Linked DNA regions of Drosophila melanogaster. The protein of the gene in region 3 purifies or fractionates together with the protein of the main gene of each other region. This does not show direct contact. Each region holds a gene or a part of one and is shown on either strand. Other genes may lie near its edges. The genes, in order: Rep, Tbc1d8-9, Rab30 and p115.

Region 1 (6,611 bases), on a different chromosome or scaffold from region 3:
TGTGTGGCAGACATATGGTCATTGGGCATCACCGCCTTGGAAATGGCCGAGGGAAAGCCCCCATACGGTGAGATCCATCCCATGCGAGCCATCTTTATGATTCCGCAGAAGCCACCACCATCGTTCCGGGAACCGGATCGCTGGAGCACAGAGTTCATTGACTTCGTGAGCAAGTGCCTGGTAAAGGAGCCAGACGACCGGGCAACGGCCACTGAACTGCTGGAGCACGAGTTCATACGCAACGCCAAGCACCGATCGATCCTAAAGCCTATGCTTGAGGAGACCTGTGCCATTCGCGAGCAGCAACGCGCCAATCGCAGTTTTGGGGGCGTGTTGGCTGCTAGTCAGGCGAAGAGCTTGGCAACCCAGGAAAACGGAATGCAACAACACATCACGGACAACGCGTTTATGGAGGATCCAGGTACTCTGGTGCCGGAGAAGTTCGGTGAATACCAACAGAGCTCAGCCTCAGATGCCACCATGATAGCGCATGCAGAGCAAGGTGTGGATGAGGGCACTTTGGGGCCGGGTGGACTAAGGAACCTGTCCAAGGCAGCTGCTCCTGCAGCGGCCTCTTCGGCAGCATCTCCTCTGGACATGCCGGCAGTTGACAGCGGCACAATGGTGGAGCTGGAGTCGAACTTGGGTATGTAAATGATTTTGAAAGGGCTGGCCATTTGTTATTGTATTGTCTGTTATTCAGGCACTATGGTAATCAACTCCGATTCGGACGACTCCACAACGGCCAAAAACAACGACGACCAGAAGCCGCGAAACCGCTACAGGCCGCAGTTCCTGGAGCACTTCGATCGCAAAAATGCGGGAGATGGCCGTGGCGATGAAAAACCCATAGCCACAGAGTATTCTCCGGCAGCAGCGGAGCAGCAACAACAACAACAACAGCAGCAGCAACAACAACAGCAGGATGAACAGCATCTGGCAAGCGGGGCCAACGATTTGAACAACTGGGAGCACAACATGGAAATGCAGTTCCAGCAGATCTCCGCCATTAATCAGTATGGTCTGCAGCAGCACCAGCAGCAGCAGCAAGTTCTGATGGCTTATCCCCTGATGAACGAACAACTCATCGCGCTCAACAATCAACCGAATCTGCTGCTCAGCAACGCTGCGCCAATGGGACAGCAGGGAATACCGGCAGCGGCTCCAGCTCAACCGCCGCCCGCATATCAGAATCAGCATATGCATACGCAATCGCACGCCTATGTTGAGGGTGAGTTTGAGTTCCTCAAGTTCCTTACCTTCGACGATCTGAACCAGCGGCTGTGCAACATCGATCACGAAATGGAGCTGGAGATCGAACAGCTAAACAAGAAATACAATGCCAAGCGGCAGCCAATTGTTGACGCCATGAATGCAAAGCGCAAACGCCAGCAGAACATCAATAATAATCTGATTAAGATATAGGTAAAGCAACTCACAATTTCGCAAGACAACTGATTATGAAATCTCAACTCACTCAATTGCCTCTACATTGGGTTAAGTTTGCAGATGAATACTGAATCTTACAGACCCATCATCTGTATCCTCTAGAAATTATTCGTGCATTGTGCAAATTTAACCTGGTGGAAGGGTCTAAAATCAATCACAAGAAATGAAAACACAAAAGCTTTATTGTAAAATGCAGTGAAAACAGAAAAGAGGAGTCATCGGCAGTATCTTCCAGCACGAAAGCATATTTTCTGTTAGATTTCATCAAATTTATGCTTGGTTTCTTATATCCTAGCTTTCATTGATCTGTCTTTTAATATAAATAGGTATGCTCGAATAAAATTTATCTTGCGTTTATTGTAGCTGCCCGTATTGTGAACTGCCCAGGCCTTATCATAATTTAATAAGACTTATAATATTCGTTCTTCCTTGGTAACTATTAACCTTTATCTCTAAAACACTTATTTTCTGTCTTCGTGCGATAAAAACAGTAACCCGTCAAGCAATACTTATAAAGGAGAAACATTTTTATACGCATTGGAATGCATATTTTTCGAACATATATTTATCAAAGCAAAATGCACAGAAACACTCACATTTAAACATTTATATATACCTAGTACTTTTAGCAATTATAAATAATTTACATAATAAATATATAGGAATATATGAATCAAAAAATTGCATACAATATATAACTTATTCGAAAGATACTTAAGAAAATTTTGTAATAAGTAATGATATATGTAGACCAAGGAAACCTCCTTTTTATTTTAGTATGACTACTCTTGTATATCCATTTCCTGAGTTGCCTGCTGCATGTCGTGCAATTGTGCCCGCAAATCTTCGGGCAAAGTGTGCTCGTTCAAGGCACTAGGGTCTTCACCATCCACGACAATCTCCTCTGGATCTGGGGCTCGTGGCAAAAAGTCGGCATCTGGGAACATTTTGCCAAATATGTCGCGAGCATTGGCAATGGCCGCGTCATAATCCAGCTCGTAGGTAGGTGGATCGGTGTAGTAAATATGCTCGGCAGCGGGACTTTTACTAGACTGGGCAGCAATTGTGAAGTATGAGCTAAATATTATTTGTGCGTCTGATTGATCGAAGAGTTGGCTAGTGAAAATGGCTAGATCAGACGCTGGATCCTCGCTCAACGCTGGCGTGGTCAGATGGAAGATATCTGTAAAAATTAATTCATTAAAAAGGAATAATTCACATATTTTCTTAAGTTTCTTACATAAACCCTCGGGACAGGCTCCCGTGTAGTGCGACAGTTGTATTAGGAAGGCTTCCCGTCCACCTTCATTGTCAAGTAGTCGAAGAAGATTTACACCACCACCTCCCTTGTTCAGCTCCTCATTGCCCAGGGGACTGGACGATATGAACAAGCCACGTGAGATGTGCGGCTTCAACTCGATGCCCTTTGAAACTGGTGTATAGCCAGGGGCAGAGACCACATTCTTGGCACGCAAAGTTTTCCCTGCGCTGCTCAGCAGGAACTCATTCGAATTGGAATCTAAGGCAATGTCGTCAACGGCTCGCTTTAGGCAGTAAATGCCACCATAAACAGCGCACAAACGGCAGAAGCACTGCGGCAATTCCCCGCAGCCATACATGGGAAAGAGAAAGGGTGTGTTGCCATAGCGGCCCAGACTGCCCAGAAATCGTTGTGTGCGCTGCATACCCTCCTCGAAGCTGGTGCTGGGGCCGCACATGGCAATGGCCTGCATCACGCACGACGATATCTTTTCGGTCACCCGCTGCGCCTGCAAATATTCCAGAAACGTTCGTCCCCGGAATTCCAACGAGTCCTCGTTGCACTTGTCCTCGCCGTAATCGTTGCAGGCGGTGAGAAATTTCATCAGCAAGCGCTTTTCCACGATGGTCAGTGTTTTGGTGTTGAAGACATCGCTACGGGAGCAGGGCACGGACACAATTTCACCATTGTGGCGCATGCACACATGGTCCACGGCTCGGAATTCAGCATAGCGGCAGATGTTCGACTTGATGAGCAACTGCACCAGCTCCCCGGCTGCGTATAAAATGCGCGGGCATAGATCCAAGCTGAAGCGTCGCGACTTGGCCAGCACTGAGTCCCTATTCCAGGATTGTGCATCTGTTTCTGATTCTTTTTCCATGGAATGCCAGGTGTACCTTGCGTTTCGCAATGCAGAATGAGGCTCGACTTCCTGGTCCAAGCGGGCACATAGAGCATCCATAGAGAAGGAGCTCCAAACATCCCCGTAGTACTCATTACTATCCAGGTGGAGCACCGATTTGCCTATCCTGCTGCCCGCAGCGGCGATGCAGGACTCGGTGAAGCCTGAAAAGGGCGTCCCTCGAATGACTCATCTGTGGTTCTTTTCAAATCTTCTTAATTACCTGTGCCTATGACGACCAGGTCAAACTGCTCCGGCAGGTCATCCAACATGTTCTAAGCCTTATTTGCACTGATATTTAAACTATATTTACGGATAAATAAAGTATTCCGTGAATTTATTGCGAATTTACTTAAGCAGCTGTTTACAGATGCGCAGCTAGCGATGACGTCATCAACAAACAGCTGTTCATAGTATTGGCTAACGAAACAAAACGTTATAAAGTTGTTTGAAATTTGAAATATAATTAAACTTTTGTAATTATTCCATACGGAGTTTAGCATTGCATTACAACTCTTTAAGCATTTAAATGTATTAAAAATTGTCTAATTCAATAGTTATCGCAGGCGTATTACAAAAATACTGAATTTCCCAATGCCCAAATCAACAGGTGCAATAAAAATGCACACATACAGGTGGGGGGAATTGTGCTTGTAGTTGTAGTCGCCGCTACCATGGAAACGGAAAATTCGTAAACAAAAGCCGGAAAATTAAAAATTGCAGAATGTACACTAACGCAGCAGAAACGTAAAGCCAATAATGTCCTTTGAAAAGATCCTTTACAAATATGAGGAACCGCACGGGATCGGAGATGTGTACTTCATTTGGCAGAAGGCTTTGCTGGCCACAACTGGTACCGATGGATCGGTGGCCCTGTACAATCGACAGGGCCAACTGGTGCAGCGCATCATACTTTCTGGGTGAGCTATGCTCAATCTCTACGTAATAATGAATAATGACCAGTAATGGAATCTCTTCTCCAGGCTGTGCTCAGGATTCGCCTGGGACCAAGAGGGTGACCTGCTGGGCATCATTACCAGTGGCTCCCCAAACATAACGTTGTGGGACTATAACAGCCAGGAAAAGATCAGTGTGGAGACGGGCCTTCGAGATCCCCTCACGTGCATTCTCTGGTCCAAGCAGCAACAACTACTGGCCGTCGGCACAGGACGCGGTAATCTGGCCATTTATAATCATAGCAGTGGAAAGCGACCCACACCGGTTCTGGGCAAGCACAGCAAACGAATCACTTGCGGCGCCTGGTCCGCCCAGAATCTGTTGGCTCTCGGTTCGGAGGACAAGAGCTTCTCGTTGAGCAACGAGGATGGCGACACAGTGCGCGTAGTCCAGCTAAGAGATGCGCCCACCGACATGTACTTCGCCGAAATGGCCAATGACGAACGTATTGCGGGGGACAATGCCATCAGCATGATCATCGGCAAGCGTACTCTGTTTCTCTACTATTTGCCCGAGCCCGAGAATCCTACGGAGCTGGGCTTCCAGAGCCGATACGGATCGCTGATGCAGCACAAGTGGTTTGGCGATGGGTATATCCTGCTGGGCTTTTCCAACGGACATGTAGTGGCCATCTCTACGCATCCCAAGGACGTCGGACAGGAGCTCTGGCAGGTGAAGAACCACAAGGACAGCTTGACCGGATTGGCATACTGCCCGACGTTAGATATAGTTGCCTCCTGCGGGGATGACAGGTAAGTACTTATATTCTTATCTATAAAACCTGTTAGGAAACATTCGTATGTTAATATTCACATTTTTTAAGCAGCATTAAGATTCATTCAATAACGAATCTCCAGGAGACTGAACGCATTATTACCGTGCCAGATCATGCCGGTGTTCAGATGATCGATTGGTCGCCCGATGGTCAACTATTGGCGGTTACAACAAACCATGGTACTGTGTACATCTATGTGACCAAGCTGCCTCATCTCTTCGCCGTCTCTGCACCTCGGATTGTGCTGTTGAGCAGTCTCGCCGAGGTGTCCATCTATGTTTACGCACCGGACAAGACAAAGTCGCTGCCTTTCCGCTTGCCTCTGGAGGGTGAGCCTACCTTCATGGCCGTGGGGCCATACAACTTTGCTACAGGAATTGAAAAGCACGTATGGTTTTATGATCTCGGGAAGAGTTTGGGCGAGGAGCCTCGTCCACTAAGCGAACGCGATTTTCCGCGCAGCGTGGAGAGCATGAAACTGAATGCGGACTACTGTGCCGCTTTGTGTCCACCACAACTAATCCTTCAGGCCATTGCCGCCGACAATCCAAACTGCAAGGACAAGCTGCAGGCGGTTTTTCCAACAGCTCTGCCCAATATGCCCAGTGATGCGGTGATCACGTGCTTTGCACTTAGCCAGGAGCTTCTGATTTTTGCAACAGATGTGTGTAGTTGGAAAAGTTGGTTTGTTCTTTGCATAATAATTTATAATATTATTCCAGATTGGTCACCTGGTGTTCTATTCCCTGGAAAAATGGGACAGCTGCACAATCTACAGACACAGTATGGGCATCCGGCAGCTCTTCATGGACATCGAAGGCACCAAGGTTATTTTTATAGATGATCATTCCCAGGGTTATGTTTTCCTACCTGTTGTCGAGGAGGCCCTCCTCATTCCGGACATTCCCAAGCAGTGCCTTGGCTGTCTTTGGGATCTCACGCAGCCGAATATCTTCATCAGCTACGATGCTAGAATCGTCAATACGCACGTCTTTGTGCGGCATTCTGTACAAGGGACACACACCCTGATGGTGGGTGAGTCCAAACTGAATCCGGGTCAATTTCCTCTGCTGCTCTGCGGCGGAGAAATGGCTTTGCATATAGATGGTGGCCAGTATGCCACACAGTCACTCAGTACCCACGTCGTGAATCCCAGCAACAGTCAGGCAGCAAATCTTCAGATGCTCCTGAAGCTGAGAAACTACGATGAAGCCTACAAGCTGTGCAAGCAGATGAATCAGAGCAGCGCCTGGCGGGAGTTTGGGGAG
Region 2 (10,293 bases), on a different chromosome or scaffold from region 3:
AGAAACGAAGAGCGGAACCAAGAAACAGAAACAGGGCACACAAGTGTGTTATTACTCAGTAATTGTAAAAATGTCAGAGGCGCAACAACAAAAGCTAATACAGAGGCAAAGCGAATTTGAGAACGTGCCGTGCCAACTTTCGTAAAAAGTGACTAACAAACGCTTAGCCATTTGCATCAACAGTATTAATATTGCTTTTATTTCTGTTTTATTACGTTTTCTCTGTAACAGCTTCAAAAAGGAGTCTCGCACGAACACATCTCTATCTCCCTCTGACGCATGATCTAAGTGGCGCGAGAGCGGAACGACTACAGCCGTAAGAGCGCAAGAAGCTGCTGCGCAGTTATCGGAAAAGAAGAAGTGGAGAAGGAAAAGAAGGAGAACGGAAAGAGCAGAAACCTAGTTGCAATTGACTTAACACAACTATTGAAATGGCTGCTATTGCCGCCCTGCCAACAACAACGTTGCGGCGCAACAACAACAACAACACCAAAGGGGTAAGTAGTCGCAAAGGGACAAGGGACCAGATATGTCTGTTAACTTGGCCCTTAAGCGACCCGCTGAGGGTGGATTTTATAACGTGTCTCGAGTGGACACGCGGCAGTTACACTAAACACGTGTACACAAGCATATGCATACATATGTACATGTATACCGCACACATATCGTACATTCATTTACCCTTGAGCTGCGTGGCTTGCAACCAAGGTCCTTTACATGCACACCCTTTGCATGATCGAAACGGAGGCCGTTAATCCCTTAAGGCTAGCTTAGTGTTGCAGTTCGTATAGGCCTCTGTTTTCATTGTAATGCCAAATTCGCACTATGTTCATATACAACAATAATATTATCTATAAAAATGTACAAATTCTATAGAGCTTATTGGAAAAGAAATATACGTATATATATATATACGACACTGAGAGAAAAAATTACTTATCCGCCCAGTAACACTTCTGCATGGAAATTTTCGACAGGATATAAGAGGTGGTCAACAAATGTGGCTTGTACCCTAATAGTTGCAGATATCTAATAATTTATTAAATTGCTTAAAATATATTTAATACTAATCTTAGGTTAATCTTATACTCTTCCCTCTCTATATTTTAGATCAAATCCCGTCGCAATGAGCGTAACATCCTGACATTCTACGAAAAGATTGCCGTAATCCGTTACTATGACGAGACCAACATCTCTAGGAACAGTCTGGCCAAGATGTTCCACTGCTGCGCCACCCAAATACGTAGAATCTTGGATAAGAAAAAGGATCTGCTGCAGCAGTTGGCCACCTTAAGCGAGGCAGATGCCTCCATTATAATCGAAGAGATGACGCGCAAGCGCCGCAAGTTCGAAATGAGTGCCATCAGCTTCCTACTACACGAGTGGGTGGAAAGGTGCATCCAAATGCAGTTGAACATCAGCATAAGGAACCAAAAACTGAAGGAAACCGCCATCCGGATGGCAGCTGTGTTGAACCTGCCATCCTTCAGACCATCCTATCGATGGCTAAGCCGATTCCGCAACAAGTACAAGTACGAGGCCGATGAATTGGGCTACCAGGGCGAAAATCCCTTGAACCAGGACCTGCCTGTCGAAGACATCATTGTGGAGTTTAAGCATGCACTGCCGAACTTCATGCAACGGGAGCTGGATAATCCAGGCGAAGCAATCTCAAAAGCAGCTGTTATGGCAGATTTTGTCAATCTCTCCAGCGAAAACAGTATCATGTCCGATCATCCAGAGGGGGATAATGAAGTGGAGCTGGTAACATGTGAGCCCACCATGATGTCCTCACCATCCAGCACACCAGATGCTGCAGAGGGGGAAATACCTCTGCAGGCACATGGCGACCAGGAAAACCCGGATGATCAGATTAACGCTGGAACCAGTACTCTTCTGAATGGGGTTTTTCCGCATCTAGCCATTATCCACCAGTTCGCTCTGATGAACTCGGATGTACAGGCATTGGAACTTATCTCCCAGCTGGGAGTGCACATGCAGCAACAGGCTGTTTCTGGAGCTTATCATAACCTGTCGCTGGCGACTACCGATGGAGATGGGCAAGACGATCCAGGAGAAATCGCTCTTTCGGAACTGCCACCGGGAAGTATTTACGCCGATATCGATGACATCGAATTGATCGAGTAAAAACATCAATTTATCAAAAGGTTAAAGCTAGTCTAAACTTATGCCTCAGCGTAGTCGACTGTTATTTATAATCAACAAATCGTTTTGTTATGAACTTAAATGAGTTCATTTCACCAAAAAAGTACTTAAGGCCTTCGACTTTTATTAAGATTAATTCTTAAAACAACAACAATAAGAGATCTACTTCATAATTTAGTTTAAATCAAATTCGATTTGATTGATTAAAAGGTTAATAAACCAGAATTGCTTATTATGATCATGTTAAAATTTAATAATCCGCAGATAATTTGGAAATGGTGGTAATTTGGGATACGTAGTTTATACGAATCGAGAAATATTGTCTATACCAAGTTTATAAGCTATATCTAAACATACCATGCGTTTGTCCGGAATAATTATCATATCAGAACTGCATTCTGGAGTGGCTAGTTGTGGCTTGACCTCGCCCTCCTCCTCTTCCTCGCCCTCCTCCGCCTGTTGTTCCTCCTCGCCCATGTCCATGGGACTGTTGAGGACGACGAGATCTTTGGGACATGGCCTATCGACCCTGGCGTCGTGCTCGACGAGTCCAAAGTCCTTGCGCGCGGCCAGAATTCGCTCTCGCATCTCGGCATGGGTCTTTAGCTCCGCTGGAGTTCGTTGTGGCACGATGCACATGGTTAAATCGTCGTAGAGGTCACATTTCTTTTTATAGGGCTTTGTGAAGCGGGATTCCTCCGCCTTGTGGTGGATGCGACGCAGCTCATCCTCGATGGTTAGCACTTGGGAGATCGTGGAGTTGGGTGGCTTTTTCTGACAGACGCGATCGCGGGGCGGACAGTTCTCCGCCTTCCATTCCGGCGACGTTTCGTTGCCCAGAAAGGTACGAATCTCATAGGGATTGTTAGAGGGACTGCACTCGGCGTTCACTTCCACGAATTTTTTCAACATTTTTGCAAAACACTGACGATTTTGCAGGAGTTGAGAATAAAACTAGTAATTTTGTAGCACGACACGTTCGTTGGGCTTTGAACTTGTTATATAAATGAGAGGTTTCAGTTTCGATTTAAAGCTAAAGGCTAACTATGTAATTTATATGGTAACTTTGCGTAATATTAAACTGTTAATAATGAACATTTTCTGTTTCTCTATTCGGCTTCTAAAAGCCAACAAGTTTTTAAATTGGAGAGAACATATTTCGCTTAATTGAAGTTAAGATACAGATTCATATTCTTAGGTTTAACTAAACGTTAACTATTTGATTCAAAAATCGGACGCAGAGTGCACCCATTCACAATAGATTGCTTAGTTCTTTGTGCGTTTTGTGCTTTCCAGCCAACGGGCACACTTGCCACAAAAACAGCAATCAGCGCTCGATGCAGAATTAAACAAAGAGTAATTTTGTATTTAGAGCCTGGCACGGGCTAAGAACAATCAAAATGTGGATTCAGCCCAAGGAGCTGCTGCTTCCCTCGGCATTTTGGTGAGTTATAGCCCAAGTCCGCAGCCGAATCGAAGGATTGCCGAAAATCCAAATTAAACACGGCTGCATGGGTGTGTGGGTGAATTGGAATGGACGGCATGTGTATATGCAATGTTATGTTTATGGAAGACATCTCATGGAATGCGATTATCGCGAAGTGCAGGCGGAATGGGGAGCCGCCGATCACGTATTTGGATTAGGCACAAACGTCGTACTTGCAGCTAGCTAGTTGAAATGCATTTGTTGATAACTAATTGAGCCAAAAGTTCAAGACTCCAACTCTTCAGATCGCTGGTTCTGATTTCGAAACGCAAAAAGTGCCAGCTGTGTAAAGTCAGCTTGAAAATTGATTTCCAACTGTTTCCTGCTGCGTAGAAAAGTGCAGACACCGCCCTCTAGAAAATAGCCCCCGTTAAGTGGGGCCCTCCCCCCTTGATAAGCCGACTCTAAAGGTGAACACCATAATTTTCGCCCACAGGATTGCCGAGATGCACTCGAGATACTTTGTCCTGCAGAAGAGACGTGGCCATGGGGAATCACGCGGATTCGGTTCCATGTTGGTGGGCACCTACGACAGCGTGATGAACACCAAACCGGCACCCTATCGCATCCTCCACCAGACGCCCTCGTCGGAGGTGTCTTACGGTAGGTCCAATATCTCAGACTCATCCGCTCTATCAGTTCCAGTACCTCGGGTCTATTTCGTATGTCCAGCAATCGGTGACCGTGAATCATCGGGCTTTGACTCGCATTTATGGGAGTATGCCAATATTTCTTTCATCTACGGTTCCCTCGGCGCTTACGTAAACATGGAACGGAGCTGATTACAAAAGCTGCGGAGGCTGGATCGTTCCTTTTGTTATTCAATTTATATTATATTAAGAAAAGAAGGCAACTGACGGAGTAGGGTACTTGAAAACCAGGCATTTTCATCTCAACATGCGCAAGGCGCTGAAATGCGTGTTATCCTAAAGTTTAGTAAAAAATGTTTAAACTAATTTTTGGTATCTTACTGTGCCTGTAGAATAATTAATTCCATATCCATATTGTGCTGATATGGTTTTTAAGTCGTGTTCTATAGATAAAAATATAAAAAAGATTAACAAGAATCTATTCCCTACAGAAATCGCCATTGGCATTACCCAGGATGAGATTGTTAAGGATTGGGAATGGCTGAAAGCTAATCTCTTTAAAGTGCTGGACGAGATGGAGAACGAGGACGAGGTGACCAACTTTACCATATGCAAGATCCAATCTTTGTACACGCAAAACAATCAAGATGACACTGGCGAATCGGCCGATTTCAAGGTTATGAAATCAAAGTTTAGACAGATTTTCAAAATGCCCGAGGAAGAGCGATTAGTTATCTCTTATTCGGCCACGTAAGCATATGTTCAGTATACATTAAAGGTCCATATTTACTGAATATTGAATTCCAGTTATGTAAAAAACAAGATACCAAGGCAGGGTCAGCTATACATTTCGCTAAACCACGTCTGCTTTTACTCCTACATGCTGGGTCAAGAGATCAAGCGTATTATACGCTTCGCAGAGCTGGAAGACATCAGCCGAAATGCGAATACCATCTATCTAAAAACCACCAATAACATGACCTACAACTTTACAATGCTCTTCAACGCCAGCGATGCACACTTATTGATTGAGCAGCTCAACAAAATGGCCATACAGCAGCTAATCCATGATCCAGATAGTCCTGTGGTCGACCACGATACTTCTAATTTCTCACGGTTGGGTTCCAAAACGTCCAAGAAACCAGTTCTACTGCGGGATTTGACAGCTCGCCAAAAGTCCGAGGAGTTTCGTATTTACTTTCGATTGCCACAATCGGAAATAATTGACGGAAAGATTAAGGCCAATATCTGGACACCTTACTCAAAACGATTTAATTCGGGCTTTATCTACTTATCGCCGAATTTCTTTTGTTTTCGTAGCGATGTAAAGGATTTGGTCAGCGTGGTTATACCCATGAAGACCATAAAGGTTCGCAGACCATAAATGTACTCGATTTCGATAAGTTTTAATTATTGTTTGCACTCTAGAGCGTTGAAAAGAAGGATGATGGCCAGCAACGTTTCGAAAACCAAATTGTAATTATAACATCGGAGAATGTGCCTTTCATGTTTGCTCATATCGTGGACAGAGCTGTGTTGATCTCCAAGATCACAGACCTTCTGGCTCGAGTTCATGTGTAAGTGTTAGATTAAAAATCTATGTTGCTATACTTACATGTATATATTGATCCTAACCATATTATTTAACGCAGTCCTTTGAGTCGCGAACGCGCTAAGTACGACATTTCGTGGAGCAAGCAGACCGCTCTGATGAACACATTCAAGACACAGTTCAGCGCAGAGATCATACAGAAGCAGGAGGAAAAGATGGTGCGCTGGGAGGCGCATTTCCGGGACTTCGGACGGGGCATTGGAATGTTCCGCACAACGGACGTGATAAATCTAATAGTGGAGGGTATTCCTGACAAACTGCGCCAGGAGATCTGGCTGATATTCTCGGGGGCAATCCACGACAAGGAGATGAATCCCGGACTGTACGAGGATCTCGTAGAGAAGGCGGCTTGCATAAAGAACTGCTTTGCCCACGATGAAATTGATCGGGACTTGCCGCGTTCGCTGCCCGAGCATCCGGCATTTCAAAGCACCGATGGCATAGGTGCTCTGCGGAGAGTCCTTCAGGCCTATGCGCTGCGGAATCCACAAGTGGGCTACTGTCAGGCCATGAATATTGTGTCGTCGGTGTTCCTGCTCTTCTGTGATGAGGAGAACGCATTCTGGATGCTGGCCAGCCTGTGCGAGAACTTACTACCGGACTACTACAAGGATAAAGTGGTGGGCGCCCAAATCGATCAGGGTGTGCTTAATGAGCTAGTGGAGACGCATTTGCCTGATTTGCACGGCCATCTGGAGCAGTTGGGTGTGATTAAGATGATTTCCATTTCCTGGTTCCTTACCATCTTCATGAGCGTGATCAGCTACGAGAGCTCGCTGCACATCCTGGACTGCTTCTTCTACGAGGGCGCCAAGATCATTTTTATGATTTCACTGCAGATCATTGAATGGAACAGGGACAAACTGTTGATCTGCCAAGATGATGGCGAAGCCATGCTAGTTTTGCAGAACTACCTGGAGGGAGTCTACAATCCAGAGTACCAGGTGCCTCCTACGACGGACAAACGGAAGATGGAGCGTAAAGTCCAAACACAAACAGTTCAGACCCTGATCCATGAGGCATACACAAAGTTCGGTGAGGATATCACACAGCAGCGCATCGAGGAGTTACGCAACAAGCATCGCCGGTTAACGATGCGACAGTTCGATATCGACAACGAGAAGACCATTGTCAAGGCTTACGTCCAGAATCCGTATTTCAACCGCAGTGAACTGCATATGCTGCTCACTATCATCCGGGAGGAAAAGCACGCCCTTAAATCCCTGCAACAGCAGCAGCAGAAGGTTCAATGCCCGTTGTCTGAGACTCCCCAGCTGGTCCCTCAGTCGACAAGCAGACCGATCCAAGATGCCGGCGCCTCCGGAGGCAGATACGAGGCTTACAGTGTCAGCTATGAGGTATTCCACACACTTTTTACGGAACTGACACCCTGGCGTAAGTGCGTCAGCGTGGACATTGGCGAAAAATTGTTTAGGGTATGTTAATGATCTTGGAATAAGAATTGGCATGAATCTATATGTCTCTGTTTTCGTTTTCCAGCTTACTGATAAGAAGGGAACTGGTGTTCTCGACTTCGGACAGCTCATCAATGCATTGGGCCTGGTCTGTTCCAACAAGAACATGGAGAAGCTGAAACTCCTCTACGTTTTACATCTTCCGCCCCTATTGTCCAAAGCGGAGATTGAACGATCACGTCGCCCGCGCCCACGCACAAAAGATGATGCCGAGGAGGCTTTCGAGGCGGAGGATTTCTTTGAGTGAGTGTTTTCTGAGGCCCAAACTATAACGAACTAAAACCATGCATTTCTTATTTAGTAATGACGCCTCCGAGTCGATGGAAGCGTTGCCCTCGCCCTCGGATCACAATTTTGATGCCGATGACTTTGCCCTGATTAGTGCCACCCAGCATCTGCACAACCTGGCCGGAATCTCGGGAAACACATTTATGGACCTGTCACGCACTCCCAATCTGTCGGTGAACTCTAACACCTCCTCGTTGGCGCATCGCAGCTCAACCTTCTATGTGGACCTGCCGGGATTCCAGGGTACTGCCACATCCACAGATGCTGGGCGGGACGAAGACGAACTCCAGCGACAGCTTCGCCAGCAGGGCCGTTACGAATCGATTGACACATTTTCGGATATTTCAGATCTGGGAGCGGCACGCATTACGCCGCCCGAAGCGGGAGTGGGAGCTGATGTGGTAGCCGGAGCAGCCTCGTCTGCGGCCGCTGATCACATGCTTCTCAATGTCGAGACTATATCGAATTTCTCACAGATCAGCGACCTTGTTGCGGCCACACGTCTAGAACGTGTTGACTCGAATGCCACGGACTTGCGAAGCTTGGGCAGTCTTGGCTATCTGCTGGACCAGCCGGACGAAGGCGCTTCAAATTCGCAACACAGCATTCCCCACATGCGTAAGGAGAATTTTCAGCTGTTGTGGCGCAGTATCATAGAGATCATGGGTCTGGTCCAGGATGAAGAGATGCAAAGGGCTTGTAAGTATAGCCTTTAAAACGTGAAAGTACCATTCAAAACTATTGTTCATTTTTTAGATGAGAATCTCTTGGAGCTTGGAAACAGCAATATTAAAAAGGAGCCCAGCCTGGAGAGCTTTACCCAGCTAAATATGGGTGGCGATGAGGTATGACTTGCTTTGTCTTTTCAAAGATTCCCAACAATCAAAACAAAACTAAATTTTTCTTTCAGCAACCGGATAGCAATGGCAATCCCACCACTCCTGCACCAGAACCCATTGGCACTACCCGTCTATTTGTGGCTCTAGAAGAGGAGCTTCGTCAGGCGAGCGGAAAGTCCAGGACCACAACAACAAGCAGTGGGGACAGCAGCAGCACTAACATCTCCGAATCCTGGCACATATCTATTACCCAGTTTATCGCCACGGTTCTGACTGTCAACAGCATTGTAAGAGGTTTCCAAACACCAATCCAAATAAGCGAACAGATCGAGCAATTGCAAAAGAAGCGTCGCAAGTGTCTGTCCACCAATTACTGAATAATCATAGTCCCATCCCTGCCCTATGTCCTGTCCCCCCACAAAACTGTATTAGCCATATTCTATGAGAACCTGACCGATTCTTTATCCTTGTGCAATGCGACAAGCTTTTAAACGTATCCATGTTATATGTATGTATATTGTATTGCCTCTACCATTAAGTTAAGACAATTGTTTGTGAATATAATTCTATTATTCCTATTATACAACGCAGTCACATATAAAAAATTATCGATGCGGGATTTTTGTGTACATATTTTATGTACTTTTCGGGTGACATTTCCCGAATGGACACTTCGTAGGTTTCATACTTTTAGAGGTTTAAATGTAACAACAATAATATAAACTCATTTCAGAAGTTATTCGCACTGTCCATCGATCACTTATTTATCCATCCATTTGCACACACCTCTACTCTTCCATGGCCACTTGCTGCGAGCTCCTCCTGTTTGCCGACGCATGTTGTCGCTCGTGCTCCGCCGTTCGCACCAGACACTCTTCGTAGGTCCATTTGGGGAAGACTCTCTTGTACAGGTACATGAAAGCAGTGTCGTAGGATCGCAACTGCCCATCAAAGTAGCACTTCATGTGGCCGTGCGTGCCCAGTGACTCCTTAATGTGTCCCAGCCGTCCGCACTTGGTTCTTAGTTTCACAGGCTTGAAGTACTCCACATCCTCCTTGTAGAAGAACATGTAGCGAATAGAAGCCGACTTGCGATTGATACGCATGGGATGACCGCTGAGAACAACGCGCTTGAGAACAATACGATCTGGATTGCAGGACAGCAGGCGTCCACGGGCAACCAGCGCCAGGGTGGAGTCGGGATTCACCTTGAAGGCCAGCACGGGTGCCGGAGGGAACTGAATCGGTGCGTAAAACGTGGCGCAAACTGTTTCGTACGGACGGAAGTAGCGTTCGAACTGGATAAACATAATCCATTAATAAATAGTCAATTACAAATTAGTCCAAATATTACCTTATGCTTATCCCCATTGGTGTGCTGACTGTAAATGGGATTCACAACAAAGCGACGATAGCCGCACTGGATTATCAATTGTTCTTTAGACTTCAGCGGCACCTCCGAGTCGGGCATTCGCTGCAGTACCACGTTCATTACGCACATCTGGTGCTCATGGGGTAGCATTCCATATACAATAATGTTGTCCATAAGCTGGGCGGACTTGAAGGCATTCCAGCGGCTCTCAGGAACATTTATCACATAAAGAGTGACGTATAAACCAGGCTGAAAGCAAAAACATTATAATCTTATAAAACCGAATTTTTGGAAAATCCCTACCAGAACGCCCTCGAACTCCTTGGCTTCATTAAGAATCCTACGCTTGGTGCGGTCGAAGTTCTGGAACTGATAGATGCGAGCATAGTCAGCGGGAAGATTCTCCTTGGCATCCCAAGGCGAAGTTCGGAAGGACTCTAAGCCGCGATATTTCTGGAACCTCTC
Region 3 (6,898 bases):
GATCACCAAGCGATAGCGTTCATCAGGAAGCCAGCGATCTTCAAGCACGTGCATTTCGTTCAGAAGCTGACGGAATTTCTCGGCGTGTTTACGTAAATAGTTAAAATTCAGCAATGGAGGAGGTCGAAATCAGCACAGAAAAGAAATCCAATCCCGTAAAGTCATTTATTGCGGGCGGCGTGGGAGGCATGTGCAATGTGCTCGTTGGCCATCCATTGGACACAATAAAGGTGAGCTTCAAAACTGTGTTTACAAATGGAAACGATGTAATGCTTTAAGTTCCACTTTAGGTCCGTCTCCAAACCATGCCCACACCTCCACCTGGACAGCCGCCGAGATACAAGGGAGTCATAGATTGTGCCGCCAGGACATTTCGTTATGAGGGTTTTCGCGGATTCTACAGAGGAATATCCGCTCCACTTGTGGGAGTAACACCCATCTATGCCGTGGACTTTGCCGTCTATGCGGCGGGTAAACGATTGTTCCAAACGGATGACCACATTAGGCTCACCTACCCACAAATCTTCGCCGCGGGAGCCTTGGCCGGAGTTTGTTCTGCCCTCGTCACAGTGCCCACCGATCGTATAAAAGTCCTTCTGCAGACGCAAACCGTGTCCAACGGACCTCTGCTCTACAATGGAACCATTGACACGGCCGCCAAGCTATATAGGCAGGGTGGCATTCGGAGCCTCTTCAAGGGAACATGCGCGTGCATTCTGAGAGGTCAGTTGTTAATTAATTGCTTAATATTATAGTATATATAATAGTTATGGATAATTTTAAAATTTACAGACTCGCCCACCGGTTTTTACTTTGTGACCTACGAATTCCTACAGGAATTGGCTAGAAAGAAGTCCGCCAATGGAAAGATTAGCACCACATCAACTATTCTGTCCGGCGGAACGGCGGGCATTGTGTTTTGGACTTTGGCCGTGCCGTTCGATGTACTTAAAAGCCGTCTCCAGTCGGGTGAGTCATCCAATCGCCAATCGCTTTAGTTACAATGATTTATAAATGCCATATTTTTAGCACCTGAGGGAACATACAAGCACGGCATTCGCAGCGTTTTTAGAAACCTCATGGCCACAGAAGGCCCAAAAGCTCTATTTCGCGGTATCCTGCCAATTCTACTTCGTGCCTTTCCCTCCACCGCAGCAGTTTTCTTCGGCGTGGAGCTAACCAATGATTTGCTGAAGGCTTAAATTTAAGAATTTGTATTTCAGAGAGGCTGTTTAGAATATTAAATATTGTTTACATATGCGGTTGAGTTTGCTTTATTTGGATTTCTGATATTCTATAAACAAAATGTTTGAAATATTAGCTATGCGCAGTAACCGAGGGATATTAATGGATTTTTAAATATAACGCCAATAATTGGTATCCGATTTTAAAAGTTAAATATATTTTACTTTACATGCTAAAGTATCTTTACGGTTTAGCTTGGCTTACATTTAAAATATACTTTACTTTACATGCAAAAGTATCTTTACGTTTAAGCTTAGTTTCGATTCATTCCAATTGGATGTGCAATCGAAAGCTTTTAAGCGGAACGAACAGATCGACAATATTAGAATTGGAAGTGCAGCGAGATAAGTACTACTGCTTTTAATCAGAAAACTACTTGCGGAGAAAGTTGGACGCTGGCGGGTCGCGCGTTTACTCCTATTTCGTTCAATTCGAATCGATACCTTTAAAAACACACCGGCTTCTGTGCGAAAAACATTTTGGTGTTTCCTTGAATATAATACGTTTCCTGAAAGAGACGTTGAAAAAAAACACTTGGAAAAACGGCGATAGTTTTTCAAAACTATTATACGCCCTGTATTTGAATGATCTGCCCGAGGAATTGGAGGGCGGAATCGACATCGATGGCCGCCGTGTGAATGTCCTAATGTACGCTGATAGGATCGCAATACTTTCCGAAAGTATTGATGATCTTCAGGATATGATCAACCAGCTGGAAAAATACTGCACCAAATGGGACATAGTGGTGGACATGGACAGGTCGTGTATAATGGTCTTCAGGAGAGGTGGACGGCTTGCATTGACTGAGAAATGGTTTATAACGGGAAAGGAGATCAAAACCACAAGCACTGCAGAATTTCTCGATTTTTTGCTCACAACTACACTCAACACTCCAGAGATACTCCACATAATAGATTGGAAAAATTGGATGATTAGAGAAGATTGATGAATCTATACTTGCTGCAAATGTGGGGATACGAAAAAGTAATGCAATTCAAAGCTCTGCAAGCGTTTTATTTAAAAAAAAAAAACCACTTGTTTCGAGTGTCCCAACCCTAATAATCTGATAAGAGATGCATTTGCAGTATATTAAAAAACTTTATTTTCCCACAATGAAAATTCGATCGGCCGATTTTTAACTCTTAAAGTAATGAAGAAAAACATTCTGTGGGCTAAAGCACTTAATAATATTTGCAGTACCTATAACTTAAGGTGGAAGAGCTATTTGAACTCAGAATCGGAGTGGAACGATTTTTGCACGAAATTATTAAGGTGGTTAGTTAGATCCTGAAATCGATGGGATTTTTTTTTTTTATATGCATTATTGTACAAAATACTGTTTTAAAAACATTTGTAATTATTTATCGGCTAAAAGTTTACATTCCAATTATTGTGATATTTATATAATAACAAGATATATATTGCAGCTTTTTTAATCAACAACTTTTTCCGCATTCGTAAAAAGTTGATATACTTAATCAACATATTTTATATTTTACTCAGCTGTAAATTAATCAGCTGTAAATTAATTAAACACTCTTTTCCATTTTACTTGTATTTAGTTTATTTTTTATTCAGCTTTCTGGTCTATTCATAGTTTCTAATTCTTAATTTTTGGAATGTCATAAAATCACCTTAAACACTATTACGAATATCATTTAAAAATTGCATTACCAAAGATTGCACATTAATCGTAAAAATATGTAAAAATAATTGCAAATAAATATGCATAAATTGTGTATGTATACAAAAAATGTAATGTATAAAACATGCAATACTCCTTGGGAATTAATTGAAATAAACTAAATGGTGAGTCTAGCATTTTTGATATCATAAATTCTTCGTAGCATTGGCTGTGATGCTCACTTGGTAAACGATCCATAATCAGATCAATACATACGTCTATATAATACAAATCAAGAAAATCAGGCGGTCTTAAACACCTCCAATGGAGTTCTTGTAACACAAATATTTAGCATCCTTAGTCATTGACAGCTAGTTTCCCATAGGATCTTAATCGTGATAAATAGTAAATTAGTTTTTACAATCAATTTCTTTCTGTAAACCAAAGGGGATACAGAAATAATCAATTTTTTTAGTCTTGTAATTAAAATAATAAACCCTTAAGCATGAACAGAATATCACGATAACAGATAACAGATTAGCTGCACAGTTTCCAGATCCGTTTGCACATTGTACTTTAAATGTTTGTTGTTATCGTAGTTTAGTGAAAGCGAAGAGAATTGCTCTAAATACCTTTACATTTAAAGGTATTTGAAGCCGATGTGTTTTAACAATCTAATAGGAATCGTTACAAAGACAAAGGCAAACGATCACGTCATAATCATGCTTATAAAAACAAAATTTAACATATGTATGTATGTGTTAGAATGTGGGAGCATTGTGGTAATAAAAGATAAATGGAATATCACGATTAGTCCTTAACAAGTTACAGATTAGCTGCTCAGCTTCCAGTTCAGTTTGCAGCTGCTCAGCCGCCTTGACTAGAGTTGGAGCCGCCGCTGGCGAGTCCGCCACAGCAATTGCTCTGCGCTGCCTTGGCACTGAAGCTCCCCAGTCCGATGGAGCTGCCCTCCGACTGACGCTGGGCGGCTGCCGCTGCGGCCGAACTACTGCCATCCTTGCTCCTTGCCTGACCAATCAATTCGGCGGCAATCTCGTAGAACAGACGCTCTACATTCTCTGCCTCCTTGGCGGATGTCTCCAAGAAGTACATGTCATGCTGCTTGGCGAACTCTTCGCCAATCTGGGTGGGTATCTCTCGATCATCCCTGTCCGTCTTGTTACCCACCAGGATTTTGAGTACCTTGGAGTTGGCATACTCCTGGATCTCGCGCAGCCAGTCCGGCAGGCAGTCAAATGTGGGCTGGCAGCTGATGTCGTACACCAGGATCAAGGCGTGAGCCGATCGATAGTAGCTTTGCGTGATGGATCGGAACCGCTCCTGGCCGGCGGTGTCCCAGATTTGTAGCTTGATCTTCTCGCCCTCCACCTCCACGGTCTTAATCATGAAATCCACACCAATGGTGGCACCCTGGCCAGGTGGAAATAGACCCTGAGTAAAGCGGCGCACTAGGCATGTTTTTCCAACACCAGCATTGCCCACCAGGACGATTTTGAACAGGAACTTGTAGTCCTCCATTGGGGATGTTGCCAAAAATGGGTTGGTTTTGGGGTTTTTGAGTCGCTGGGTGTGGGCAAGTGTGTGTGTGCTCTGCGAAAGTAGACGAAAGTTAGTCGGAGCTTAGACACACCTAGTCAGCGACGCGTAACGATTATACTTTGCTGGCTGGTGGTGGTTCGTTGGATCAGCTTACGCCATCCCCAGCGAAGACAACGCCTCTCACCTGTGGCTCACCTGGGGCTCTATCACTAGCTGGCCAACGGCTGTTCGCCTTGTTTTTTGGCTTATTTGGCTAAAAGATGATGACTCAACAGCAGCTGTAGATGCTTGTTACTCGCTTATCTATGCGAATCGGCCCCAAATCTATTCAGCAGGCTTTCGGCCAGGTTGACTATGCTTGCAAATTTGTAATCAACTGGTTGCATGCTGCCGCATTAATTGCCAGCCTTAATTTTGCTTATGTTTACCAACAGAATTTTACTGTATTTCGACGTGATGGTATTTGATTAGAGATGTGACATCAATTCCCATAGCAATACTTAACGATGTTTTTCTCGGTATCGATAGATCGACGTTTTGCAAAGCACTTAAAAACTTTTTGAAGTACGGTCACTAGTTATCGATTGTTCATCATCGATAAGTTCTGTGACAACCCTGAAGCCGAAAACAAGCAGCCACGCTAGAGAAGAAAATCTGGTTGAAAATTGGCAAAAATTCTAATTAAAAAATCGCAAAAGCCAAAAGAGAAGTTCGTAAGTCGTCCTACGAATTCCGCTGTGCGTCCCCACCACATTTTGATTTCTCCAAACGTGCCAGACACCGAGCAGGGGACTTTTTTCACGGAGCACCCCGAATTGCAGCGAAGTAATTTTCGAATATGGCCGAGGACTTTGATGTGGAGGCGATGCTCGAGGCGCCGTACATGAAAAACGTAAGTTCCCAAAGGCCGGATAACAGCCAACTATCGTTTAAATTAAGTCCCACTGGCTTTTGTGCCCACCCAAGGCAATTATTTTGCTGTGCAAAAACAAAATGAAAAAAAATAGAAAAACAGTTACTTCATATGTATGTTTGTATACTTCTTTTCCCACATAGACACCCACAGGCGTACGTGCATTTTGTGTTTGTATGTAAGTCGTCTTCGTCTCGGGCACACACACACACACACACACATGTGCAGTCGATGCATACTAAGTGGTCTTAAATCGATTTTTAGCCTAATTTTGCTGTTTAATAAAAAATCGGCAGCCGGAACGCCAATCTGCGTGCTGATTTTCGTAATATTTTTTTTTCACACTAGACTGCGTTCATACAGAAAAGTGTTTCGCCAACGGAAAATCTGTCTGTGTGTGGGTTTGTGTTGTTTATTTTCCTACGCGGCATTTGATACAGTCGTGTACTGCAGTGGGTGTACAGTGGGGTGCAAAATATTTGGCAGGGCTGCAATAGCAACTGAAAACGTTTAACAAGTATCAGGGAAACTTAAAGGATTGAATTACTAACAAGACAGTCATGATTCTGTAAACTATAAAAAACAACGTATTTTAGTGATATTTTATATCTCTTACTAAACTTGGACTTTAATCTGTATTATTGACTGAAACGGATTTTGTAGCAATTGGTATTCCTCTTATCTTATCTGGGCAAACCATCTGTAATAATATTTATTAATAGGTTAAAACTCAGCCATATGAAATCATACTTGAAAAATCTCAATATATTATAAAATAATTTGTAGGTTAGCAAACCACATTTTTCCGTAGCATTTACAAATGCAATTTTCGGTGTGTTGTGGAATAAATCTAATAAAATTATCATTAATTAACCCAAAACCAAAATCAGCATTATTGTCCGACAGCTCGCCAAGGTTTTAGTCAATGTAGTAGTCTATGACATCCAGCTAAAGTTGGAAATTAATTGAATTGAATTCTTTCGCCCCAAACCAACAACTCATGAGTTCAACGCTCCTATTTCTTCCTATCTGCTGTCTCACTAAGAACTACCGACAACTACCCACACACAATCACCATTAAAAAATACAAAAAAAAAAAAAAAAAAAAAAACCAAACAAAAATGCTAGAATAATTCTTAAGGGTGAAATGTCTTTGCAGAGAATCGAATAAGCTCAATATTGTTGCTAGAGATTGTTTTGGTCATTCTAAACACAAAAAGCTGGAGACCATTTGGTAAGTTTTGAATGTGCCAGAAGCTGCGAAAAAAAACCAATTACAAAATTACAAAACAATAAAAAAAAAAAACCAAAACATATCTAGGCATTTTGTATAAAATATGATTTGTTTATGTTTGCGTTTTTTTTTTATGAACACAATCCAATTGAAATCGTTACCTTACTGCTCTATGTAAACCAATGAAACTGAACGTGCACTAAATTTCAGATATACTCCTCCTAACTTGTCTGGGGCAGCAGGCAGCACTACTACTACTCTCACTCACAGTCAGACAAGAATGAAAGTATCGCTCAAATTACAAATTACAGATTTACGATAA
Region 4 (7,716 bases), on a different chromosome or scaffold from region 3:
GTACGCTCCAAAGTTGAGCATCCAATTGGTATAATAAATTTCCTTAAGTATTTGCAAACACATCCATCCATGGACTCCTCTCAAGAAACTACTTAAAAAAACAATCATCTTTTCCAACAGGCCGTTTGCGTCTCCTGAAGAAGATACACTCGTGCTTCCATCCACGCTGCAATAAAGTGCGCAAGTGCAAGACTGTGCGTAAATACACCGTGGAAGCCAACGTATCCGCGCTGACTTTGGTCGTTCTCAAGAAGAATCCCTCCCCATGTCGCCTGGGACCCGTGCGTTCCAGCAACATCAGCAAGATCTACTATTTGTGCGAGGAAGATGATGAGGTTATCCCTGTTAAGCTGCAGCGCAGGCACCAGAAGAAGCGCCAGAATGCAACCAAGGAGGCTATCGCCGAATACGTCAAACTGTTGGTCAAGCGCAAGAAGGAGTCCAAGGCCAACCGCGGCCGTTATGTCACCATTCGCAAGCCGAAAAGCTCTGTCTTCAGCGGCAAGAAGTAAATACCGCAGACTCTGAACCCACATTCTTCGTTTAAGCAGAAACTGAATGTTGATCACAATAACCATTTTTGTTAAATAAACGCGATAAATGGTATAGAATGTGGTGTGTTGTGTTCAATTATATTGATCGATTGAGCGAGTGTAAGCTTTAGGATATATATACTAAAGTATCGGGTGTAAATGTTTTCATATTGCATGTGATTTTGGTTATGAGCTAGCCAGCGGCATTTTTTGGTAAGGAAACCATGGAAAACAAACAAACAGTATCTTGGAATTCCAACATAAGCCATTATATGGGCAAATCGGAATCGGAAAGAGATGGAAACAGGAAATCGTGAGCGGATATATGTAGCTATCTATTGCGATTTGCTGCAGTCCCCGCTAAAGCAATAATGGTCCCATGTGTAGATTTCTATGTTCCGTATGGAAACCCTTTTAAGCATCTGTAATAAGCTAAGCAACCTGGGTATCTTCTGTCATGAGGTTGCTTGTCTTCTTCTGTCATTAGCCAAGCAACCTGGATCAGTCTTGTGATAATATATCTAGAGAACATACCTTAAATATGAAATCGTCTGTGTATTCTTATGTGCATATTCGTGGTGAGTTCTTCCATTCTGAGCAATACAAAGCGAATATTTCCAGTTGCTAAAAGCTAATAATTAACTATATGTGATTGGAGTACGCTCCAAAGTTGAGCATCCAATTGGTATAATAAATTTCCTTAAGTATTTGCAAACACATCCATCCATGGACTCCTCTCAAGAAACTACTTAAAAAAACAATCATCTTTTCCAACAGGCCGTTTGCGTCTCCTGAAGAAGATACACTCGTGCTTCCATCCACGCTGCAATAAAGTGCGCAAGTGCAAGACTGTGCGTAAATACACCGTGGAAGCCAACGTATCCGCGCTGACTTTGGTCGTTCTCAAGAAGAATCCCTCCCCATGTCGCCTGGGACCCGTGCGTTCCAGCAACATCAGCAAGATCTACTATTTGTGCGAGGAAGATGATGAGGTCATCCCTGTTAAGCTGCAGCGCAGGCACCAGAAGAAGCGCCAGAATGCAACCAAGGAGGCTATCGCCGAATACGTCAAACTGTTGGTCAAGCGCAAGAAGGAGTCCAAGGCCAACCGCGGCCGTTATGTCACCATTCGCAAGCCGAAAAGCTCTGTCTTCAGCGGCAAGAAGTAAATACCGCAGACTCTGAACCCACATTCTTCGTTTAAGCAGAAACTGAATGTTGATCACAATAACCATTTTTGTTAAATAAACGCGATAAATGGTATAGAATGTGGTGTGTTGTGTTCAATTATGTATATTGAGCGATTGAGCTAATTAAGCTTTAGGATATCTATTCTAATGTATCGGGTGCCAGCGGAAACGCTGAAAAATATTTTTGATTTTTAATTAATTATTTCAATCTATTTTTCCCCCAGGTAAATGCAACAGTTCCGACAAATAGTTCAATTAAAGTAAGGCCATTTATTATTTTCTGAGAAAGGAAGGTCGAAAAACTGTTTAAATGGTTTTTTTTTTACAACATTACGATTTACCCAATCATAGGTATATTAATATTGTTAAACAAATAAACGCAGAACAAACACTATCTTCGAATTCCAACATAAGCCATTATATGGGCAAATCGGAATCGGAAAGAGATGGAAACAGGAAATCGTGAGCCGATATATGTAGCTATCTCTTGCGATTTGCTGCAGTTCCCGCCAAAACAATAATGGATTCGTTTAAATTCTGATCTAGACATATATTCTATACGTAAGTTAAATAAATGTAAAACAAGTAGAATGTGTGTATATAAGATATTTTAACGTTTTTAGGGCAGTCGAGCAATTTCCAGTTGTAACATGTACGTGGCTAGCAACTCATCCGCGTTACGATTTCTACCTGCTGGCGGTGCCACTTGGGATGGGGCTTCCTCCGCCAGCTGCCGGCACGCTTGGAGCTACATTGGAAGTCGGAAGGGTATTAGTCGAGCCCGCTTCTTCGTATCGCGTTAGCTTTGCCTCCTGATCGGCCAGCAGTTCGAGCAAATCTTCTTGATCCTTTTGCATCGCCGCCAGGGAATCTTGCGCCGCATCTGCACTCTGTTTTTCGGCTGATAACTGCTGACGTAGTGTCTCCAGCTCCTTAGTTAGACGAATGTTTTCGGCAAAGTACATGTTGGCCTGGTAGCGAGCGGCATTTAGCTCCTCCTCGTTGGGCGGCGTGGCTTCCGCACCTTGGGCGGACTGCACCTGACCGGTCGAGGCTCCCAGCTGTGCCTTAAGCAGCGTGTTCTGGTCCAAGAGCTGCGCCTTGAGCGACTGCTCCTCACCAAGTTTCTCCTTCAGCTCGGCATTCTCCTGTTCCAGTTCTTTGGAGGATTGCTGCAGTGCTTGGATCTGGGCATCCATGCCGCGGATAATCCCCTTGTACTGGGAAACCAATGCAGAAGCTTCCGAGCTCAACGTGAGTTCGGTCAGTTCAATGCCATCTACATCAAATCCGCTAACCAGCTTGGCAATCAACGCCTCCAGTCCCTTGTACAGCTTGCAATACTCGAAGTCAAGCAGTAGTTCCCCAGCGGATTTGGCACGGATCTGGGCCTGCTTGCATGCCCGACTGTAGGCCTCATGTCGCGACACTTCTGCTAGTTTGCTACAGAAGCTCTCCTGGCCAATTCGCTTGATGATCAGCTGACTGATGTCCTCGCGCTTCTGCCCCGGCAGCGAGTTGTCATTGAACTGGATGCACAGGCCCATTAGGAATGCGCACATGCCCTGGACAAGGAACTCTCGTTCATCGTGCTCGTTGGAGCAAAGTTGAGCGGTCAGGTAGGCCATGGTGCCCTGCGTTTCCAGCAAAGCCTTCACCGCACCTGGACAATGCGCCAGCCACAGGCTGAGTAGCATTAGCAGACCCACCTTGCTTTGCAAACGGTAGCGTTCCTGCTGCATGAGATTAGTGCACTGCTCGAGTAGCGTGATAGGCTTTTGGCCACCAGGAGTGGCCAGCAGTACGCGCAGTAGTTCCTCCTTTAGGGCGACATTCTCTACGAGTGAGTGCATTAGGGCCACAGCGGAGAACCAGTTGGCAAGCGCATCTGTGGAGAAGAGTCCGGTGCAAAGGAGTTGTCCCGTCGAAAGGGCACTCACATCGGACGCACTGGAGGGCAGCAGGGTCTGTACAACCGCCCGCTGGCCATCGGCATTGCGATAAAGAAAGCACTCGAAACAGTAGAGTACGGCGCAACGCAGTGCCAGCAGTTGTTTCTCATTGATCATGGACATAAGAAGGACCACGATGGCAGGTCTGGGTGGACTGCTCGGAGCCATAACTCTTCCCAATTCATCCTGGTTGTCCCGATCGCCGCGCACCACTTCGGCCACTGCATTGATGGTTTCCGTGAGTATATCCGCAGGGACACCACTGCTCATCAGAATCTCGCAAAGAGCATGGAGCAGTCGAGACTTTTGCATGACCCGCTGGCAGGCGGCCACCACCTGCTGTTGATTACTGGGCGTGACCAGTGCCCGCACCACCTGCAGCAGACAATGGAAGTTTGAGACCTTCTGTGGCGACCAGCCAACCTCTTCCGCATCCTGTGAGAGCTCAAACATTGGCGACAATCGCTGGATATAGCTGCCCTCCTTAAAGAACTGCTGATTACTGGAGTTGTTCTTGAGAAGATTCAATAGCAGAATTAGGCAATCCTCCACAACAATTCCGCCATCCGAACAGCCCTCCTCACGGACAATTTCAAAAAGGCGGTCAAAGGCATTCTCAAAGGCCACAATCTTTTGGATGTTTGAGTTGCCCTTGGTCAGTTCGATAAGCAGCAGAAGGACATCGTTGCGAATCACTTCGCGGCTGTCCGTCAGCAGATCCATCAGCTTGGAAACGCCCATCGGACTGACCAGAATCAAATCCTGCAGCTCCCGCGTCTTGTTCGAAATGAGGGACGTAATCAGTTGGATGGCAGCGCGACGCACTCGAAAATCGTATTCGTCCAGATAGCCCATTACCAGGGTTACATGCTCCGGTGTCTTGATGAACATCTCCGTGAACTGCTCGCCCACATTCACCGAAACGGTGGGATTATCAGCCTCCTCGTCGAACTCCTCGCTAGTAACCACGTTGCACAGTGTGTCCAGCGCATAGCTGATGATCTCTGCATCCTGTCCGTCGTTCTGGAGCACCTGGACCAGCGGAGGCATGCCCTGTGCGCCCACCTCGATGCGGTACTTGCGGGACAGGGCTTTTAGCGCTCGGCAGGCATCCCGTCGATCCTCCAGGAGCGTTGAGGAGTAGACACGGTCCACCAGCTTCTCCACCGTCTCGGCGGCACTCGGCTGCTGACCCGGCTCCGTGCTGCCCAGCACCGTTTTGATGCCACTCTTCAGGAACTCCATGCGAGTGTGTGTTTACGGTCTATTCTGGGTTTTTTCGCATTCAACAAGACACGTCAATTCATGAAAACAATTGACGGGCGGCTTAGCGATGGCTAAAGTCCGATAGACGCCCACTTATCGATAAGCGGCTTGTCTTTAAATATATTAAATATATTTTTAGAATTACAATTTACCATATTTGACCATGTTTGTGTAATTACCTATATTTACACTTTTTTGATAATCTAAAACTTTTTTTTGAATTACATAAAATATTGCTACTTTCTAGCTGACGTCGGGACTTAAGCTGAGTGGCATCCCTGTCGGCGATAGTCTTACTGCCAAAATTTTATTAAACTAAAAACGACTCGACAGCCCTGGTGCTATCGATGCTATAAGTAAGTTGAAAACAAAACTAATTTAGCAAATTTGTGTTTAAAACTAAACGAGAGAATCCCAAAAAATACAATATAAAGCGTTCCACACACGCGGCGTAAGAAGTTCTCAAAAATATCAACACAGTTATCACGACGCTGGGAGAAATCACTCGTTTTTATTACGTAATGCGGCAAAATGTCAACCCATAACATAACAATCCCCACATCAATTTGTGTAAATCATATGTAAATCTCGCCATCTCCTGTGCTTGTCTTGCAGACCTATGGGCAGTGGGATTGTGGTTCAATTGGCTCGAAAGTACGGCGCAGTGATATTCTTTCCCACTGTTGCAGTCGGATCGATTTACGCAGATTGGTCGCACACCCGCCAGTGGAAACGCCAGCAGCTCCAGTTGGCACACCGAGCCCAGCTGAAGGATCAGCGCTAAGAGGATACACAAATATACACCATGGTCTTGGGACTGGATAAGCGAGCACTGTGGGGCGCGTTGCCCCTGCTGGGATTTGCCATTGGCCACTTCCTGGACAAGAAGGAAACGGAACGTATGACCATGTTCCGGGACAAGAGTGCCCTATACGGCCGTCCCGCCGGCAGCGAGGGTAAGGCGCCATCCTGGTAGGCCTGCCCAACATCGCCATCCCAAAATATTATTTTTTTTCCCCCAATTCACTGTTATTCAATAAACCGGAGAAATGTGAAATACGCCTGTCGTCTAGTTTACCTGCATGGCCAGCGGACGAGATTTGCGGTCGGGAACGTGATTTATTTGTGAAGGATTGCGTACCATTGTTTGTTTTACTCAGGAAAAACATAAAAACCTCAACACACGTCTAACGATAAGCCGAAAACCAATGAAAAATCCAAGGAGATAACTCGTTTTTCGAAGGATTTTACCTGGGCATCGCTGCACGATATGCGAGTTCTGCTTAGTTCGGATCAGGGGCGTAGGCTGGATATTTTAGAAGAGCATTGGTGTATTCTACCAAAACTCTTATTATTTATTGTAGAACTTCTTGAGCATGTCACATAAATCACTTGAAATGTGGTAACCGAGAGTAGTCTTTTTAAATGAGTTTCGTTAAATGGCATTGAATTATCTAATACATGTGAATCGAGATTTTTAAGAATTAATAGAAAAAAAAAACTTTTATAAGCATGAGCCCCCTAAAAACTTTCATTTGCACGACCATGCCTATATGTACTATGTAACTGCTTCCAGTAAAAACCGTTAGACAGAATGGATAATCGCTCACTTCAAATATGAAATATGAAATCCGATAAGGACATTTCCACTTTAACAAACAAGGCAGCAAATTGAAATGCCAATGGAACAAAACTAATTTATTTTTATGGCTCAGGGCTAGGGGTTTGTACTCGGTTTTGGATTCCGGTTTAAGATCGGTTTTGGGCTCGAGTTCCAAAATTGAGCGTGATGAATCGCTGGAATTGTGTTCTTGGGCGTGCTGCCCCTCTCTAGACCATTGTTTCCAATGGTCAGTAGTTTGTACACAGGCGCAGTGGGATCAAATGGAACGGATTTTCCAGATTTTCGCCTTTCAAGGGCTTTCTCTCTCTCACAGCGGGGGAGAGCGTGAGCGAGAGGGTGAGATGCCAGAGATTTGCAAGTGGATACCGTTGAACTGTGGTTGGGAGCGAGAGGGTAATAGCACGATCTTTGTTCCTGGAAGGAAACGAGAGATCCAGACGTGCAACAATAACATAACAGTGCTGGTGTCTCTCGGCGGGAAAATAGCCAAATTGGGCATTAGCATGCAGGTGCGAAAGGGTTTTATGGAGAGGTTATTTATATGAAGGTCAGGTTGAAATGACTGCTATCAATTTTAATCGGTAGTTGTCTTGTATATTGGTTTTTAAATAGTTTTGTATTTTAATCCATATTACAATTTCTTAATTTAATGATGAAATAGCTATTTGTTTATGTATGTAATTATATCATTAGATTGCATATTTGCAAAATGTATTTTGTAAAAATTACAAATCTAGCTTGTTTTTAGAATATTCATTCTTCCGCCCTATTTAGCGGGGTAGCGGCACTACTTAAACCTCTCTCTCGCGCACTTGTTGTTGCTCTCTCTCCCGTTCTTGCAGGTAGCAATGAGAATTCCAGAAATCCTGCATCCCAAAAACCAGTCTCAAATCGTGTTTGGGTTTTGTAGCAAGCGGATCATTTGTAATCGGCGGCGGAATACCCAAAATACCCAAAGAGTAAAAAAAAGACTTAAGGCAAAATGAGCGGAGAGGAATCTGCCGGCATGGACTTTTCGCAAAAGACCCTGCAGGATTACGAGGTTTTGGCCGTGATGGGGAATGGATCCTTCGGCACCTGCTACAAGGTGCGCGACAAAAGCACCGGTGAATTGTTCGCCTGGAAGGGAATGAACTACGATGAACTGGACG

Evidence for each region.
Region 1: the proteins of Rab30 (region 3) and Rep purify together in Drosophila melanogaster (affinity purification with mass spectrometry, with the first as the bait; 2 studies listed by BioGRID). This does not show direct contact.
Region 2: the proteins of Rab30 (region 3) and Tbc1d8-9 purify together in Drosophila melanogaster (affinity purification with mass spectrometry, with the first as the bait; 2 studies listed by BioGRID). This does not show direct contact.
Region 4: the proteins of Rab30 (region 3) and p115 purify together in Drosophila melanogaster (affinity purification with mass spectrometry, with the first as the bait; 2 studies listed by BioGRID). This does not show direct contact.

What each region holds. Positions count from the first base shown.
Region 1 is NT_033778.4:19,489,496-19,496,106, reverse strand, and holds Rep (Rab escort protein), read right to left. Parts: upstream 4,021-6,611; 5' UTR 3,884-4,020; coding exon 3,835-3,883; intron 3,776-3,834; coding exon 2,690-3,775; intron 2,633-2,689; coding exon 2,232-2,632; 3' UTR 1,982-2,231; downstream 1-1,981. Other genes in the region: hpo (hippo), read left to right, coding at 1-646, 704-1,425; Oseg6 (outer segment 6), read left to right, coding at 4,371-4,531, 4,595-5,320, 5,395-6,007, 6,066-6,611. UniProt on the Drosophila melanogaster protein: Binds unprenylated Rab proteins, presents it to the catalytic component B, and remains bound to it after the geranylgeranyl transfer reaction. The component A is thought to be regenerated by transferring its prenylated Rab to a protein acceptor.
Region 2 is NT_037436.4:21,336,893-21,347,185, reverse strand, and holds Tbc1d8-9 (TBC1 domain family member 8/9), read left to right. Parts: upstream 1-3,469; 5' UTR 3,470-3,566; coding exon 3,567-3,610; intron 3,611-4,088; coding exon 4,089-4,255; intron 4,256-4,733; coding exon 4,734-4,992; intron 4,993-5,049; coding exon 5,050-5,611; intron 5,612-5,670; coding exon 5,671-5,819; intron 5,820-5,894; coding exon 5,895-7,290; intron 7,291-7,354; coding exon 7,355-7,572; intron 7,573-7,630; coding exon 7,631-8,316; intron 8,317-8,373; coding exon 8,374-8,462; intron 8,463-8,527; coding exon 8,528-8,833; 3' UTR 8,834-9,036; downstream 9,037-10,293. Other genes in the region: ebd2 (earthbound 2), read left to right, coding at 432-497, 1,111-2,148; CG32436 (uncharacterized protein), read right to left, coding at 2,524-3,078; Tsr1 ribosome assembly factor, read right to left, coding at 9,245-9,754, 9,811-10,077, 10,132-10,293.
Region 3 is NT_033779.5:7,027,698-7,034,595, forward strand, and holds Rab30 (Rab30), read right to left. Parts: upstream 4,910-6,898; 5' UTR 4,540-4,909; intron 4,481-4,539; 5' UTR 4,409-4,480; coding exon 3,737-4,408; 3' UTR 2,796-3,736; downstream 1-2,795. Other genes in the region: MME1 (mitochondrial magnesium exporter 1), read left to right, coding at 114-230, 291-723, 793-969, 1,030-1,202; caper, read left to right, coding at 5,268-5,321.
Region 4 is NC_004354.4:7,891,331-7,899,046, reverse strand, and holds p115 (p115), read right to left. Parts: upstream 5,017-7,716; 5' UTR 4,921-5,016; coding exon 2,410-4,920; 3' UTR 2,056-2,409; downstream 1-2,055. Other genes in the region: CG45089 (uncharacterized protein), read left to right, coding at 5,561-5,725; ND-MNLL (NADH dehydrogenase (ubiquinone) MNLL subunit), read left to right, coding at 5,747-5,917; Nek2, read left to right, coding at 7,548-7,716. UniProt on the Drosophila melanogaster protein: Essential for maintaining the architecture of the Golgi stacks and for normal organization of the transitional endoplasmic reticulum (tER). Required for both the formation of the Golgi stacks and the maintenance of the individual cisternae.